4 linked regions of the Arabidopsis thaliana genome follow. The protein of the gene in region 3 interacts with the protein of the main gene of each other region in a pairwise test. Each region holds a gene or a part of one and is shown on either strand. Other genes may lie near its edges. The genes, in order: AT1G14340, AT1G49850, AT4G25660 and SWAP70.

Evidence for each region.
Region 1: the proteins of AT4G25660 (region 3) and AT1G14340 interact in a two-hybrid assay, tested with the Arabidopsis thaliana proteins (one large-scale study listed by BioGRID).
Region 2: the proteins of AT4G25660 (region 3) and AT1G49850 interact in a two-hybrid assay, tested with the Arabidopsis thaliana proteins (one large-scale study listed by BioGRID).
Region 4: the proteins of AT4G25660 (region 3) and SWAP70 interact in a two-hybrid assay, tested with the Arabidopsis thaliana proteins (one large-scale study listed by BioGRID).

The regions. Positions count from the first base shown.
Region 1 is NC_003070.9:4,895,775-4,899,580, reverse strand, and holds AT1G14340 (RNA-binding (RRM/RBD/RNP motifs) family protein), read right to left. Parts: upstream 2,236-3,806; 5' UTR 2,131-2,235; intron 1,887-2,130; 5' UTR 1,873-1,886; coding exon 1,754-1,872; intron 1,663-1,753; coding exon 1,587-1,662; intron 1,502-1,586; coding exon 1,388-1,501; intron 1,231-1,387; coding exon 805-1,230; 3' UTR 546-804; downstream 1-545. Other genes in the region: AT1G14345 (NAD(P)-linked oxidoreductase superfamily protein), read right to left, coding at 1-405.
Region 2 is NC_003070.9:18,454,305-18,458,270, forward strand, and holds AT1G49850 (RING/U-box superfamily protein), read right to left. Parts: upstream 2,316-3,966; 5' UTR 2,141-2,315; coding exon 1,928-2,140; intron 1,839-1,927; coding exon 1,645-1,838; intron 1,368-1,644; coding exon 1,022-1,367; 3' UTR 540-1,021; downstream 1-539. UniProt on the Arabidopsis thaliana protein: Probable E3 ubiquitin-protein ligase that may possess E3 ubiquitin ligase activity in vitro.
Region 3 is NC_003075.7:13,081,685-13,086,130, reverse strand, and holds AT4G25660 (PPPDE putative thiol peptidase family protein), read right to left. Parts: upstream 2,725-4,446; 5' UTR 2,455-2,724; coding exon 2,320-2,454; intron 1,949-2,319; coding exon 1,687-1,948; intron 1,609-1,686; coding exon 1,541-1,608; intron 1,445-1,540; coding exon 1,142-1,444; 3' UTR 701-1,141; downstream 1-700. Other genes in the region: AT4G25670 (stress response NST1-like protein), read left to right, coding at 134-700; ACD1-like protein, read left to right, coding at 2,978-3,493, 3,617-3,804, 3,886-4,225, 4,308-4,446.
Region 4 is NC_003071.7:13,142,146-13,147,713, forward strand, and holds SWAP70 (Pleckstrin homology (PH) domain-containing protein), read right to left. Parts: upstream 3,916-5,568; 5' UTR 3,574-3,915; coding exon 3,550-3,573; intron 3,438-3,549; coding exon 3,330-3,437; intron 3,123-3,329; coding exon 3,061-3,122; intron 2,969-3,060; coding exon 2,885-2,968; intron 2,791-2,884; coding exon 2,759-2,790; intron 2,651-2,758; coding exon 2,569-2,650; intron 2,307-2,568; coding exon 2,078-2,306; intron 1,837-2,077; coding exon 1,609-1,836; intron 1,527-1,608; coding exon 1,234-1,526; coding exon of another isoform or gene 1,230-1,233; exon of another isoform or gene 1,154-1,229; coding exon 781-1,153; 3' UTR 520-780; downstream 1-519. Other genes in the region: GSTF10 (glutathione S-transferase PHI 10), read left to right, coding at 1-247.

The sequences.
Region 1 (3,806 bases), on a different chromosome or scaffold from region 3:
TTTGTACGAGAAATCGCTCCGATCATCTCCGGTGAGTCCCGAAATAACCGTCACGCGGAGGTTAGTGAACCTGTAACGAAGGTTAAAAGCTCGAGACACTGCAGCTAAGGTTAGTGGGAGCCAAAGGATGGTTAGACCTAGAATGAGATTGGCTAATAGATCTCCGTAATGAGCTCCGCCGTCGAAGTAGACTGTTTCTTTCTTCGCCGGTTTGGAATCGGAAGGAACGGTGGATGCGGATGCGGAGGAGGAAGCTAGGAGCAATCTTTGAATGTGTCTTTGTGGTAGTTTCGTGGAGGGAGACAATGAAGAAGCGGGGAAGGAGAAGGTGGTTGAGAGGAGGAGAGATTTGCGAACGACGGAGGTTACGGCGGTTGACGGCGGAATTGAGGAAGAAGCTGCCATGAGAGAATGATTTGAGTGACTGGAAGATTTGGAGTGAAAAGATGATGACTTCTCTGTTTTTTGGATTTGATTTTTTGGCGCAAATTGTGCCACGTGGCCTAAGCTCTATGGATACAACATCTATCCAAATATTGAATCAATATCAACCATAGAATGATATAAATCAGAAATTATATAAGAAAAAAGATTATGCTACTAATGAAGAGTTAAGATGTAGGTAATGTAACCAAACTCTATATCAGCATCATCATGTGAGAGTATACTTTGATAGATTTCTATATGGTATTCGTTTTGATAAAATTTGGTCTTATCACACTTCATGAGCCAGTTATTCATGATCAGCTTTGCATCATATATATTCACAGACGAATACGGTTCTGAATCGGGCCATTGGTCTATTCACTGCCTTGAGCCGCGGGTACCGAGATCAGATGCGGCTTTAGCAGCTCTCTCTAATGCACCAGACAGCCAAAGAGCTCCGCTGGAGAAGTAACTGCTATTGACAACACTAGTTGCAGCTGCTGCCGCGGTTCTTCCTGTGGCAAAGACAGCTGATTTAGCTGTATCTGAAACATGATACCTTTGGTCAGTCATTCTAACAGCTTCAAGTCCGGTAAAGATTTTGTCAGTAAGACCAATCCTCTGTTCTAGTTGAGATACTCTAGCCACCGCTGCAGCTGATACGCCGTGGGATTCATCAAAGGCTTTAGCTTTGCTTAAAGCGTCTTTGCCTAGCACGAATCCTGTGGCAAGCATTATTTTCACCACTTCTTGAGCTTTTGTCACTGCTTCTCCAGCGTTGAACTCGCTTCGTTGAGCATAATGCTACATGATTGAAGAACGAATAAGCTTTAGAATTGAGACCAAGCATCAAACTTCAACATAAAGACTACTGAACCAGTGACCGTTAGATTTAACTATTTTAACAAAAAAAGAAGACAGAAAGATCAAAGTTGAGAGAAGTGTCAAAAGCGATACATACTTGTGAGTCCGATTCATCTTCAAAACCTCGCGAAGTCGCATTCCAGAAATCGAACTCTTCGTGATGTTGTCCCCAACGAGTTATACAAACACGCTGATCCAATATCGTTGCGCCCTGAAGATATCAAAGAAGTGAGTGATTTCTCAAGAGACATCCAAAAAAGATAGAAAGAGTGAATCAAATCCAAACTAACACTTACAGTGAGTAAAACAGCAGTTTCTTGAGAATAAGAATCCTTAAACATCACATAAGCAGTACAAGCTTGCTCACCCGACCTAGTCTCATTAACAACATTACAAAGTGTACTCTTTTGAATCCAGAATAAGCAAACAAACAACAAACTTGCTAAAAAGTAAAAAGACTCACCTGACAATATCAATATCTTGGATAGTACCAGAGAAAGAGAAGAAATCGATAAGATCATTATGAGTAACAGATGGAGATAACCCAGTAACTTCAACACCATATCCAAATTGATGATCCATCTCTGCTCAATAAGCTAAAAACAAAACAAAAAACCTAAAAATTTCAACATATCCTAAGTCAATAAATTAAATTACTTCCAGTTCGTGATTCAACTTTGGGAACTACATAGAACTTTCCGATTTAGCTTTACATGATTTGGGATTGAAATTTTCAAGCGAAATTTGAGCAAGGACAGATTGCCAAATATGTTCAGACCTAAATCGTTGATTCACTAAGCTCTAGAGAAGAAATTTAAGGAATCGAAGAATAGAAGTTACCTGTTGTAGTTGTTGTTGACCAACGGAGATCACACACAGAGAAGCTTGAAAGAGAGACAAAGGTGATGAATTGATGAAGTTGATGATGTGAGTGGGAAAGAGAAGGACTACCTTTTCAGTGAACGAAAAAGACGCAATTTTAAAAAGCTAAAAACTGCGCCGTTTAGTAACTCAATGTTGGGCCTTTAATGTCTTGAGTTAGCCCATATCGTTAACGGTTCTAAATGTAATAAAAAATTCTACATGAAAGGCCCAATGTTGTTTGATTATTTTCCAGTCTCAAACAACCCATAATCACAAATATTTTTTGAAACATAAATTTTCATCTTATGCTATTTTTTATTTTAAAAATCAGTCTTTACATATTAAAATTAAATCATTAATCATTACTAAGTGTTTGTACAAGAAGCAAAAATTAACAATCTATAGACGATTTTGTTTTTTTTCAGCAACGATTTTAACATTCTAGAACCTTTTTTATACCTTAGTATTGCATGTATATATAAAAATTGGAGTAATTTTAGATATTATCTGTCTAACCGTCCAAAGTCCAAACAGGTAAAAGTTCTCTAAGTGATAACTTTTTAAAATCTCTAAAGAGACAAATTTGACAAGTGTATGTGATATAAATACTTATGTTACTGTTAATACATGAGAGAAATTCAACGGAAAAGAAAGTTAGACCATTTTCATTGGGGGTTTTTTATAAGAGTTTCTCACAATTAAAAAATAAAAATAATAAAAATGAAGGAGAGAGAGTAGAAAGTTTCTTACTTGAGAAACTCTGAGATATTCTCTACAATCCATCATGATAATTCCCTTTTAATTATTGATTCAACTTTTTAATAAAAATATTTTTTTAATCAAAAAATCAAATTATAATATAATATTAATTTTTTTTTGTTTGAGAAACTTTGTGGGTTTTTCATGGATGGAGATGCCCTTAACTAAAAAGGAGAAAAAGAAAAGACGTGTGCCTAACAAATGTTTGATGTAATTGGTAAAAAAACGCAAAGAACATTATTATTATTAATATTCTTTGCATATGAGCCGTTGGCCAAATCAATACTTACGTCTCTCTTTCTCCATCTCTCATTGTCTCTTTCTACTTCTTTCCACGGCCACGTCCGTCTGTCAAAATTTACTAGTTTTTAATTCAGATTGATCTAGTCAGAATCTACTTTTTTTTTATGTGTGTGGTTCATGTTTCTATATTCTGACCCCTGCTGCAGTGAATTGCTATTTATGTATTTTTCATGCAAAACCAAAATTCACTGCTGGAAATGTATATTTTTCATATATGTAAACACCAGATAGTTTAATTTTGTTTTTTCACTTGTCTACCAAAATTAGAACTTTTATTAAACAACAACAATAAGGTGCTTGCGACTATAGCTTTAGAAGTTCAAGTATATGGATTATGGAACTTCTAAAAATTGCGACTATATATAAGCAAAAAACATATATTTAAGAAAAAAATAAATGTTCTAAATTACAGGAAATAGTTGAATATTGGTCCTCCAAATACAATTATCTTCACCATATATGATTATAACAATAAAATATAAAAGGTTGACCATTGACTAATGTATATATTCTATAGCTAGGTTAGACGTTTTGATTCGGATTTTGAATTTCATAGTGAAAGATTTTGATATTGAGTTGACGTCAATTCG
Region 2 (3,966 bases), on a different chromosome or scaffold from region 3:
TTTTCTTTGTCGCCTTCAATATTATTGAGTAAGGTGATGGGATTTATTTGCAGCAAGAGAAGGAGAATTGCTGCTTAAATGTTGAATTTGTCTCATATTTTTCTAGCAAGTCAAAATTTCAATCTATGGAAAGTTAATTGTTAGCAAGTGAAGCTCTCTTATCTTCTTCAGCTTTCGTTGATTTTAAACTGAACTAAACCGTTTTAAGTTGGTTGAATTTGAATCATATAGGTTTTAATGTTGTCGAAGACATGAAATTGATGTGATAGAAAAAGAAAGGCAGGACATTCTTAATGTATGTATTGTTAATTTTAGTGGTTAGAGAGTGAGGTGTGTTAGGTACCCAATAGAGAAAGTGATGGTTAGGAGCAAATAAATGGGATTTTATGAAAGGAATTGAAGATGATGATCATGAATTTATGAAGAAAGGGGTCCATTTTGATATGCTTTTGTAGCAAAAAATAGCTTTTTGTGCACAACTGTCTTCTCCTTTTAGCCTTAACTTTGTTTTAAAGTTCTCTTTTTTTTGGCATAACTTTCTTTTAAAGTTGTTATAAATTGATTGAATCTTTTGATATTAGACTTCAATATATGTAACGTACATGGATGTATGATAATGACAACGTTTTGGAAGAGGAAGCAAAGCTTTAAAGTAGTATCACCAGATTGAGACAATCAAAATTTCTGAAAATGAAAACGTTAAGTTGTTGAGCTATAACCTCAAAGCATAACCAAATTGTCGGATCAAGATTTGGATTTGGAAAAAGTCTCTTTCATATAACCAACAAGACATTAAAAGAGAGATCACAGTGAATAAAACTAAAAAGATTCACACCATACGATATCAACGCTTGAACTGCCTAATGGCACAACAAAAACCATTACAAACATGTGACAGTAAAAAAAACACTCATGGGCGACAAAACTCAGAAGATCGTTTTAAGGATGTCTATAGCAAGAAGAAGAGAAGATGTGTATGGCTATGGCCTAATGGTTAGGCAAAGATTCTATTTACAAGTTTCTATTCCTTTGCTATGGCTCTACGGCAACAAGGACAATCTCCACAAGCTCTAAGCCAAGGGTTTAAGCAAGAAGAATGGAAACTATGGGTACAGGGTAAGGATATTAGCATGTCACCTTTAGTGAAACTCTCTAAACATATGCTACAATCTCTCATCTCGGATTTAACCTCGGCTGAGCTAAAAGTTTGCCGGTGTAAACAGTTAATAGCATCTTGAGTAAGACCTTGTGGTTTCTTGTTGCATTCATAGGTCACTTGAAGCCCTGCTAGTTGAAAAATTGGATCTCCATCTATAGAATGAAATGAAGACTCCCTTTGATCATCCAATGAAACTCTGTTGCTTCGACTGAATCAGAAAAACAAAGTTGAAACAAATCCGTAACCAAATTTTGAAAAAGAGGCTTCAAAGAAGATATTAAAGAATACACAAAGCAACAATAATCCACAAAAACTGATTTTTACACTAAGTCTTGACCAATCCTCACAAGAAACAAGAGCAAAATCAAAACATGCTTCAAAGAATCTTGATCAGACAAAAGCAATTATTTTTAAAGAAATCTAAAATCAGACTAGAGTGCAGATCAAGTAAAGCTGTAAAATTTATCAGTGGGTTAAGCACAGACCTGTTACTAGACAAAGAAACACCTCTCAATCTTTCGAAAAGTCTATCCCTTGCAAGCAGAACAGCTCCAGGAAGCCTCTCGGATCCATTTAGGTTAACAAAGCTGCTACTCTGAGTTTCAGTATCAGTACTATCCGTATTTAAATACTGACTAGTGCCTTGAACATCACGAATAGGTCTACTACGTTCCTGAATCTGTAAATTAGGGGAGATTTTAGTAAAAAGGACCAAATTCAGACAACTACTGAAATTAGTAATTACTAATTTGGTGGAAAGTAACTAACCGGATGGTGAAAGAAGCGTCGGAGACGGGGAGTGGGTCGCCGGAGAGGATCACAGCCGTCGGAATCATGACGCTGATTATGATGATGGACGCCGTGACGGCGATGATGATGGTGTGAGTGGTGTCGATAGGAAGAAGTGTCGGATTCTAAAGCCGGGTCGGATCGACCCGGACGTGATCTTCGTGTAGAGAAGAGTTCCGATGCGCTCGTCATGCACCGATCAATCACCAAATTCGTTTATATGATCTGAAACTAAGTGCAGCGAGTCAGAGACGATGAGATAAGGAGGACAGAGAGAGAGAAGAGAGAAAATTGCGAGGAAAAAGTAAAGGGAAACTGCAGTGAAAAGGTGACGTCATCTCCCACTTGCTGTCGGAGCTAAGACAAAACATCTTTAAAAACGGTGTCGCTGTAATAAAAAACTAAGGGGAAAAGCCCAATTATTGGGCCTATCCAAGTAAAGTCCACTAATACATAGGTCCCAAGAAAACGGGGAGAGCATTATGAAACACTAAACTGAATAAATGGAGAAATTGACGGAAAAAAAGGGAAAAAATGTTGTTTAATATACCAACTTTCAAAAAGTGGCCATTTAAACTATGAACTCCATATATGGCCAAATAAAACTTAGTAAAAGCGTTGATCGGCCATTTTATATATTCCAAAACATTGATCCGGCCAAAAACCCTGCGACGTTAGCAGTCGTTAATAGAGTCGATAATAGGCGTTAGCAGACGTTAATTAATCCGTTTAAACACAAACGACGTCGTTTTGTGTTTAATCGAAACCAACAAAATTCCCAATTCGATTCTCAATCCCTAAAATCCCCAATTCCAATTCTCATGCCCTAAAATTCCCAAATTCAAAAATCTTCAAAAGCCTCTCCATTTTTGTTCGTTTGAAGATTTTTGTGTTTAAACGGATTAATTAACGCCTGCTAACGCCTGTTATCGACTCTGTTAACGACTGCTAACGTCGCAGGATTTTTGGCCTGGTCAACGTTTTGAGATGTATAAAATGGTCGGTCAACGCTTTTACTAAGTTTTATTTGGCCATATATGGAGTTCATGGTTTAAATGGCCACTTTTTGAAAGTTGGTGTATTAAACAACATTTTTCCCGAAAAAAAATGAATAAATGGAGAAACTATTGATTAGTTAGTTGCTTAACTCAAATCTAATTGTTAATGTACTAGTTGCAGTATACAAGTTGGTTCTAGATAAAATTTTCCTCTTTTAATTTTGTTTTTTTATTGCCACTTTGTTAATTAACTCATTTATTAGTTGTTATTTAGTTGCTTTCACCCTTTATCAAACGATTGGAGCATAGTTTCACATAAATTTCCGATTTGGTTAAACAAACTCTCCGATTTAGTTCATCGAATTCGCAGATGTGAGCACCGTCGGTGTAGATGATGATGATCACGGCGGATAAGAGACGAGCTTCTTTGGTTTTCTTCTACTTAATGATCTAGATGACGGTTGATGATGATCGATTCGTAATCATCATCGGATTTTACGAGAGAAAAGAGAAAAAAAATACACGGGAAAAAAAATTAATGTTCTTTCCTCACATTACCGAACCTATGAAACATGATAGGTATGGGCCTCTTTCCAAACAAAAAATGTTCTTAGCTAAAGTGAGTTCCATCCACTTCATCACATTTTTTCTTTAAATGTTGGCTTTTTTCTAAGGGCTTCAGACCACCGTTAACGATAGTTGTTTAATAGAATTCTTAACAATTAAAAAAATAAAAATAATTAAAAGTTAAAAAAAGAGAGAGAATGAGAAATTCCAAAAACTCTTAGCTAAGAGACGATATCACAAACCCAAAGACACGTTCATCTTTATTATTGGTCTATCTATATAAAATATTTAAAATATAACTGTAAAATTAAAATATTATTATTTTTATCCTTTTATAAATTTTCATAGCATACTGGCGTTGAGGATGGTCTCACCTCTCTAGAGCTCATCTAGAATCACCGTTGGAGGTTGTCTGAGTTTCCTAAGAAAGCGGGAGATCATTATAATTATGAA
Region 3 (4,446 bases):
TTTCTTTCTGGGATTGTATTGTCCGCACCATGAGGTATTCCTATATACCAGAGTGGGTGTAGTTCTTGAGTTCCTCTACAACATCATCGAGTTTAGTGCAGTTTTTTAGTTAGAAATTTATAGTCAAGCAATAATGGATCACACGGTGTGCAAGCAAGTTCAGCCAGTCGTTAGGAAAGCGAAGAAGAAGCATGGTAAAGATGAATTTGATCGTATCAAACAAGCTGAGAAGAAAAAGAGACGTTTGGAGAAAGCTCTTGCTACTTCTGCAGCCATCCGGGCTGAGCTTGAAAAGAAGAAGCAGAAGAGATTGGAAGAACAACAAAGGTTAGATGAAGAAGGAGCTGCAATTGCAGAAGCTGTTGCTCTGCACGTCCTACTGGGCGAAGATTCTGATGATTCATCTCGAGTCAAGTTTGGTGAAGAAAAGGGTTTCACAATGGATCTGTTTAGAGATGAAAGAACTAACTACGTTCCTCGCCAAAGCTGTGCTAGCTATGCGGTTCAAGGGATTGGGTTTGTGTCAAATGGCTATGGACTAGGAGATAGTAACTGGTCGCCATTCACGAGGAGGGGTGCTTGGGATAACAACATGGGAATATCAGCTGATTTGATTGCTGCTCAGGCTGTCTCGGCGCTACAGATATCTGAAAATGCTGATGGGAACGCCTTTGTGTTCAATGGGATGTTCCGGGGATGACAGATGCCACGACTCGTCCTCATTCGGTTTTTAAAATAAACATTTGCCTTCTGCTTGCTTTGGTGTCAATGCTCTGTTTTTTTCTCTTGACGTTAGACCTTATACTCTGTTTTCGTTCGCTGTAATATTAAAGACGCATTTTGAGTTGTATCTATTATACATGTTGAAGTCTCTTCATACTGCATTGTTGCTTATCTTATATCACATTCTTTTAACAAACCCTCTAATAGGTGTGCAATGCATATGCTAAGACTTGCTTGGTCTTTGCCAGTAACGTGTTGAAAATATCTTCTTAACAAAATCACACGTTCTGCTGTGAAAAGGGGAAAAAAAAAGAGAGGTGTGTTCGAATCGTGATACAAAGTAATGGATACAAACGAATAAATTTTGGATAGGTGGATATACAGTAAGTGAATACATTGGGGTGGATCAGTACAGTTGCTACTGAAATAGTAGAACATCAGAGTCACGGTTCTGCTTTTTCTGATTGGTGATTGTATGATTTGTATCTTCCTCTTTGTTCCCTATCTCTGTACTTGTGGAGGGTTTGGCAGTGTTAAGTATACCTTTCAACCAACTACCTTGCAATCTAAAGCTCCCATTGTCTGAATTGTTGAGAGTTCCTGGCCGCTGTGGAGAGCCACTGGAGCCATTTGAACCATTGGTTATGTTTGAGGTAACATTCGAAAGGAAGCGATAAGCCACTTTACTGGCTGAAACAAGTTCAGTTTTGGCTTGCTTTACCTGCAAAAGTCACAGTTCACAAGGACTTAACATCCACATGCATTCAGGTGTAAAAAAAGAAACAGCGTGGGCAGAGCAAAATGAGAGAGAACCCACCCGCATTGCTGTGTTTCCTGCTACTTCCAAGGCTGTGTCGCCAGCATGAGCAAAACGATTCACCCAACCTGTTAAGAGACAGAACCCAAGCCGTCACATAACATAAACACACACACAAACCCTGATTCCCACAATAATGGTTTTACCTGGGATCTTTGGCACACCAAGGCGGTCACATAATACATCGCAGAAGTGATTGCAATTTTTGGACAGCAAATCATAAGTGTGTCCTGGCCATTCCCTGCTGAGCTCACGCAAGATCTGATTTACCATGAAGATTGTACAATCTGTCTTCCCAAGAACAATTTTCTCACGATATGTGTACATTGGATTCTTGCCACTAGGACAGCTGAACACACCAGTTCCTTGTTCACAATACCCATAAGACCATTCATCGTTTCCATATACCTGCACAAAGTTCATACAAGATTCTATTCAATCACTCTTCCCTGCGAATCAATAGCAACATGTAAACCTAAAGTTCATCGCACCCATAATCCCATAACACGTTTCTAAAATTACTTGAAGAACCGAGTATTGAGATCCTCAGTACAGACGAAAAGGGAGCTTAAGCTCAAGATCTTACAGAGACCTTTACGACCATATGCCATTAGATTAGAGCCTCACAGATAAAACCAAAAATATCATTCCTTCAAATTCTTCATTTCCACATACAGACACACAAACAACAACTCAAAAGAGAGACATCATCGATACATGTGCAGATGTAGATTGATAGACTAAAGACGAAGAAGATCGAGGCAGTGGAGTAGTAGTACCTGAATAGCGCTGTGGAATATACCGCCAAGACCGATCCCGTCTTTGAAGAACCTATTGATCTGAACTATGGTGTTGTTAGTCTTCTCTGATCCACTGTTCGTCACATCGTATATGTGCAGAACAACCTCCGCCATTGATTCTATCTTTACCAAGAAACACGAACCCTAATTTACTACGAAATTGAGCTCGCAGATTCTCTCTATAGTAGCTTCAGAGAAGAAGGAAACCTATAGAATCGTACCAAATCCACTTTTCTTCAACAAATCCAAATTCTCTAATCTACTAGATCTCTAAGAAACCACTGCACGAAACTCTTGTTTTTAGATTTTGATCTAAAGCTGAGGTATTTTGAGTTTGTTTATCTTCTCCCAAACTTTTCAATCTCAGACGTGGGAGATTGAAGAAACTGATGCTGTGGTGTCTGGAAAGGACCCTTATACCCTCACTTTGCCGACGCCGGTTTCACACTCAACCGACACTTTCTCTTTCAATTAACCGGTTTAGTTTTCATTAAACCAGAAAAATGATTATCAATTGGTTTAAATACATCCTGAGATATTTTAATTTGAACCGTTGGATTATAAATTTGTCAAAAGAGATTGGTAAAGAAGACTTTCATTTGCTTCGTCTCTCCGGTTGTTACCACCACACAACGCCATGGAAGCTGCTCTTGCTGCATGCGCTCTTCCATCGCTCCGAATTCTCAATACGAAACCTCGTTTCAGATGTTCCTTCTCCAATCCAAGCCTACCCATTTCTCCTAATTCCCTTATCACCCGCAAATCAAGTCGATTCACAACCGCAGTATCATCACCACCATCATCATCAGCCGCTACGTCAACGAATTCTCCACCGGAACCTGAAGCCCTATTCGAACCCGGGTCGGATAAGTTCGATTGGTACGCTAATTGGTACCCAGTGATGCCAATTTGCGATCTTGACAAGAAGGTTCCTCATGGGAAGAAAGTTATGGGGATTGATTTGGTTGTTTGGTGGGATAGGAACGAGAAGCAATGGAAAGTGATGGATGACACGTGTCCTCATCGTCTTGCTCCTTTGTCTGATGGAAGGATTGATCAATGGGGGAGGTTGCAATGTGTTTATCATGGATGGTGCTTTAATGGTTCCGGTGACTGTAAACTCATTCCTCAAGCTCCTCCTGATGGTCCTCCGGTAAATTTTTATAGCTATTGATGATGATTTGTTTGTTTTAGATTGGTTTAGCATATGGTTTATATGGAACATAAAGTCAAAGTCTTTGGTTGTATCAATGATTATTTTGGTAATGCAAATCAGGTCCACACTTTCAAGCAAGCTTGTGTAGCTGTTTACCCGAGTACTGTGCAGCATGAGATCATTTGGTTTTGGCCAAACAGTGATCCAAAGTACAAAAACATTATTGAAACCAACAAGCCTCCTTACATTCCAGAGTTAGAAGACCCATCATTCACTAAGTTGATGGGGAATCGTGATATTCCTTACGGGTATCTATTGGCTTTTACATCATTTCAACTATGTGTGGTAATTCTCCGTTGATGTTTTTGTGTAAATCTGAAATCTTTCAGGTACGATGTCTTGGTGGAAAACCTCATGGACCCGGCTCATGTTCCTTATGCACATTATGGACTGATGCGGTTTCCTAAACCAAAAGGCAAATACATAATTTGTATTTCAAATAGTTGTTTTAATCCTTTTACCAACCTTCAGATTCTTCTTGCAGAGAAGATTGACAGAGAAGGGGGGAAACCACTCGAAATCAACGTTAAAAAACTAGACAACAAAGGGTTCTTTTCAAAACAAGAATGGGGTTATTCTAATTTTATTGCACCATGTGTGTATCGCTCTTCCACAGACCCTCTACCAGAGCAGGAACATGAGTATCCCGCACCAGCTGCTTCTGACAAGGTCATAGATTTTAACTTGTATCAAGATTTTCTTGTTTAGAGTCACATGTTTTAGTTACCTAACAGTATGGTTCTGTATACAGGCGGCATTGTCAAAGCGGAGATTGTCTTTGATCTTTATATGTATTCCGGTCAGTCCAGGTCGTAGTAGGCTGATATGGACGTTCCCGAGGAATTTTGGTGTATTTATTGATAAGATTGTCCCTAGATGGGTGTTTCACA
Region 4 (5,568 bases), on a different chromosome or scaffold from region 3:
GAGTGAAGAGAAGCTTGCAGAAGTGCTTGATGTCTATGAAGCTCAGCTTTCTAAGAACGAATACTTGGCTGGTGATTTTGTGAGTCTAGCTGATTTGGCTCACCTTCCTTTCACCGAGTATCTTGTTGGTCCTATTGGGAAGGCTCATTTGATCAAAGATAGGAAGCATGTTAGCGCTTGGTGGGATAAGATTAGTAGCCGTGCTGCGTGGAAGGAGGTTTCCGCTAAGTACTCACTACCTGTTTAAACAAGGAGATGTTGACTTGGGGGGTTTGTGTGAGCTTTGTGTTCTTTGAGGGAGTTCGTTTTCGGGTCGATTGTCTTGTTGTTTCAATAAGAAACGGAACTCTGTCTCATTTGTTGTCTCTGGTTTCTTGTATTCTGTAACTTTTCAAGCTTTTCAATAAGAGTTTAAAATCAGAGTGACTCAACCCATGTATATTCCTCTATTCAGTGTAGGTCTTTGATAAAACTGGTACTAACATCACAACCATCGTGGTTTGTTGAAGGATTGCATTTATATGAAAACTGGTTTATATGAATCCAAAAACATAAGTCAAAGTTTAACACATATCTCTCTGTTCTTCATGTTGTAATAAAAGGGAAAAAGAATCATTCCCTAGTCAGACAAATTCAAGAGCGGCAGATACATAACAACTCTTGAATGTACAAGAAAACTAAAAAGACAAATTCTTTTTGTTGTTAGAAGAATCAACTCTCCAAACATTACCAGACCATCAAAGAGTATATTAAAATGTACGAAGATCTACCAATCTTTATTCAAGGCTGGTGATGAAATGATTCGGAAGGCGGATCATTGCGTGGAACGTTAGGTTCAGGAGACACTACCGGGATATCCAAGCTGTTTCTTCTGTCCCGTTCAGTCTCTGCAGATATTTCTCTTACATCAGAAACTCTTGCCTCTGTTGCCTGAATATCATTCCATTCGTTTTCTCCCACCGGAGGCTGAGCGTTTACTACCTGCTCTTCACTCATATGGACTACATTCTCTCCCGGTATAGAGGCTGTTCTTGAAATGCTCAGACATGCTTTATCCACATTCTTTTCTGTTTCCTTTGTCATTGGAAGAGAAGCTTCGCCGTTAGTAGACTCAGTCTTCTCCTCACACACTTGCTTTGTCTCTAGTTGCTGCCTGTTTATTCAAAAATAAAGAGATTTATGACCCTTCAAAAGTCATGAGTTTCCCTGGGAGATAGATTCAGATAGGCTCACCTTTGAAGCTGAGTTTGTAACATATTCACATATGCTAAAAGCTCTTGCTTCTCTGTCCAAGCAGTTGCTTCTCTCTGAGAAGCCTCTTTTGATTTTGCTTCACCGCTTGCTTCTGCAACCCTCACTTTCTCTTCGGCCCTCACAACAGCTCCTTCAAGTATGACAACACGCTCTCTGGCTTTCCCAAGCTCAGACCGCCACATATGTGCCTCTTGGAGAGCAGCGTCTCTTTCCTTAACCAATTGATCTTTTTCCTTACTCAAAGTAAAGGTCTTCTCTTCCAATTCCTTGAGCTACATAGGAGATAAAGATCAAATAAACAACAAAACATACACAAGGATGCAAAAGTATCTATATATGACATGGCCTCATTACCTTTAATTTTGTGGCTTCTTGCTGTCTCTGTGAGTCTGTAGTCAAGCGCTCAAATTCCACACAAACGATTTTCCTTTGTTCATCCATTGTATGAGCAGCAGATGCTGCAGCTACAGCTGCTTCAGCAGTCTCAGATAGCTTATCTGCTATTTCCTTTATCATTGAGTCACGAGAACGAAGTTCCCTGGCTAAATTATGTAATTCTTCATCTTTGACACGCAGAGTTTCCTGTAAGATGTAAGTGGCTCAATAAGGTTAACCTGGACATTAGAATGAAGATGGACGAATAAGATTTATGCTAATTCTGTTAATTTTCATCCTTGACAAGCAGAGTTTCCTGTAAGGTGTCCCTATATGCTTTCATCGTTCATCTTGACATTTCAGAATCTCAACAGCCAAAGGATGTCAATATGCTATTCACAAAAGTTTCCCAAATTCGAAGAGAAAGAGAGATGCAAAGATACCACACCTTCATTATTGTCAAATCATCTAGTGGTCCATCAATCGGTTTATTTGGCGTTATTTTCAATGCATTCCTCAAAGAGATCTGCATTGCTGCTTGAATTTCTCTGGAACATTCCAATGCTGTTGAATTGGCAGCGGCAACAACGGTTGCAACGGTACCAAGTGTTGCAGAACCACTTCCACTTAGAGATTCGACAGCCTCCTTATGGGCCTTTAGAACTAGCTGTGTCGCACTGGAACGAACAAAGAAAGATAAGGTTTATCAGATTGGCTTTTGAGGGGCATTTAGAAGGTATTACATTTTCAGTAAGAAACGTAAAAAGAGAGAGAAAGATGATTCTTTCAACATGGTCGACGACGAAACCATTAAATCAACACAACTATGAATTATTTAAGATAGATGAAATAAGCGGGGTGGCTTCTCTAGAGAATGGTAAGTAAATAAAAAGGACAGAAAGAGAAGCAAACAAAAAGATGAAGATCCAGATGACTTACTGTAAGGTTGTGACCCAAGCTTTAGCTGCACCAGGAGTCTCTGCACACAAAAAGTAATCTTTCTTCTGTGGGGTACCAATATCTTATATCAAGTTGAAGAAAATTCAACTCTAGATTCCAATCAACTATCTCCTTATAGACAAAAGAAACAATTATAAATATGCCAACATTTTACTAAAACCAAGGATACAAATACAGCAACCATTATATTTTGGAAGCCCCCTGAAACACAAAAGAAACAAAGTCAATGATACAAACAGACACCAAATAATGATGATTATACAGAGCAACAAAAAAAAGAATGTAGCATCCATACTGGAAGTTGACAGGAGAGATGGAGATTGTGCTATTTTCGTCAAACAAAATTGTTCCCTTGATAGTTGGCTCATTTCGCCTCGTCCTGAGTCATGGAAATACATCAGAAATGAATAAAACCATGATGAAGTGGTCTACACACAAATGCAGCTACATAAGCAAATTGATATAACTCACTTATACTCCATTTTCCCTGTTGTTGGATCAAGTATCACCCATCGTTCGTTCCATTTTCTCAGCTATTCATACATAAACACAAACAAAAGATATTATCATTGTGAACCTTTGAATAAGCCAAGACATTTCAGGCCAAAAGACTTGTTTAAGCTATAGAAATCTAATAGTGAGCTATCAGAGAGTCTTCTTAGTTTGAGCTAACTAAGAAATCCCAATCAATAAAGCAAAAACTGGTTTTGATCATTTTCACTTAAAAAAATTGGACTTACAGTTTCAGATCGCTTGAAAAGAGGTCCTTGTAGCAAGTTCCGACCAGAGCCAGATGCCAATTGTCGCTTGATCTTATCCAAGCTGTTCTCAGTAGCATCAACAATTCTCTGCGCATTTTCAGAAATTGACAAAATGGGTCAATTTAAGAGTGTGAATGAGAAAAGCAGCCAAAAGAAAGAGACTAAATTGTAGCACACAGAGATCAAGAGAGAAAAAGACCGGAGAAGCGCCGTTGGAAGCCATGTTAATTGGGATCGACGAGATCGGAAAGCTCTTGATCGATTAGAAGTGAATTGTTGCTGATCGATGGATCGAGAGAAGAAGGGTTTTAAGAGGTTTTCTTTGGTATAGCTATGAGTATAAGCTGAAGAAGACGAGGTTACAGAAGAAGAAGAAGAAGAAGAAGGAATTGGAGAAAAATGCTGTTAGGTTTGGTTTCGCGGAATTGCAGTTGAATCTGTCTTCACTCTTTCAACGCGATCAAATCAACTTAACCGGTCGGTACGATACTGGATCAGCTTACTCGTCAAATGAACCGGTTCTTGAGTTTCTCACTTTTTGTTTGTTCACTTCATTTTTATGGTTTTTGATCTGACGGTGGAGGTGTCATCACATGATTCTTTTGTTTTGTTTTTGGTTATGAGGATGATTAAGTAGATCTGTAGAAGGTAGGCTTTGTTAAGGGAGAAGCTTTACATAAACGATGGGCTAAGGAACATCAATGGGCCGGGCTGTAACAAGCCAATCGTTTAGGAGAGAGCAGAGTTCTTACTTTGCCCAACTAATCTCAAATGTGTGCAAGATTGTGAAATATTGCGTACTAGCTTCGACGCTTGGTAGTGGTGACTTAGACACTTAGTTCACAGGGACTTCAAACATAGATGCGTTAGACACAGCTTTACACTTTCTCTTAATCTTCAAGATTTTCAATGTACTACAACTTCCCTAATGGTCGTAATGAAACATGATATAAGTACATAACATAATATTCAATAATATATGAGATTTGAGTAATCATATGTGATATGATGATACTCTTTCCTTAATAGCTAGGCGCTGATAACTACATAGGAGGAGGAAACACAACAACTTGTTGGGGATACAGAAATGGATTGAAAAGCATCAAAGCAAAAGAGTAGTAGACATGTAAGCCAAGACAATATTCAATTTTGGGGTTAACTGAAGTGGGAAAGCTGCAAAACGTGAAGTGGTCCTCTTGCTTTATTCTACGTATGTAGATTCCTTTTGTATGAATTTTCTCATTTGTTTTTCACTTCTATGGCATTCTCATCAACCCAACCATGCATATATTTCCTAAATGAAACGTCTAAGAAGCTATCAAAATCCATATTTTTTTGGCTCCTTTATATTCAATCTCCAAAATAAGAAGAAACTTCTACTATATAATATACTACAGAATTTGGACACCTTTTGACATTTATAAGTTTGACCATTTATCTAAAATTTGGTATGTTCTTATGATTAGTGTTTGAAAATAAGAAAATATATATCCATGTGATGTGGTCATTCATGTATACCTTCCATAGTGAAATCATGATGTTTGTTGACAGTAACATATTGTTAGTGGTCTATGAGCTAGTGCAACCTGCCATGACTCACTTTCCCTTGCAAAATCTGACATTCTTCCACAAAACATAAAAGTCCATTAAAATTCTACTTTTGGATGAATCTGACCTTAAGGAATTTTCAGTTTCAGTTTCTTCTTTTTTTTTTCATAGAAAACCAAAAGTGCTGTAGAGTCGCAGAGATAGTGACATCCACTTGAATATTCTTCTGTTTTTTCTTACATTCATTAATTAAATTCAATACTCAAATTATATATATATAGTCCTTTTTAGATATAAAACATCATTATTAACATCTAATTAAGATTGACAAAAATGAAGTTCGTTATATCAAATCGATTGCCCATTCCTCCACTTGCTTTTCTTCATTTAAATTCAGAGATACTAGTAAAATAAACCATCAACCTCCATGCAAAACCATATTATATAACAAAGTTGCGAGCTTAACTTTTTTTTTTTTTCTTTTTATCACATTTCTTTACACTCTAAAAGCAAATTCTAAAACTTTTCTTTTCTTTTCTCTTCTTCTATCTATAGCTAAGAAACTAGTGGATCAAGTATTCAAGTTCCATATATACCGTCATCCAATTCTTTACAAAGAGCTAGATACACACAAACTTTAACAGTTATACTTATGAAATGAACTCATGAA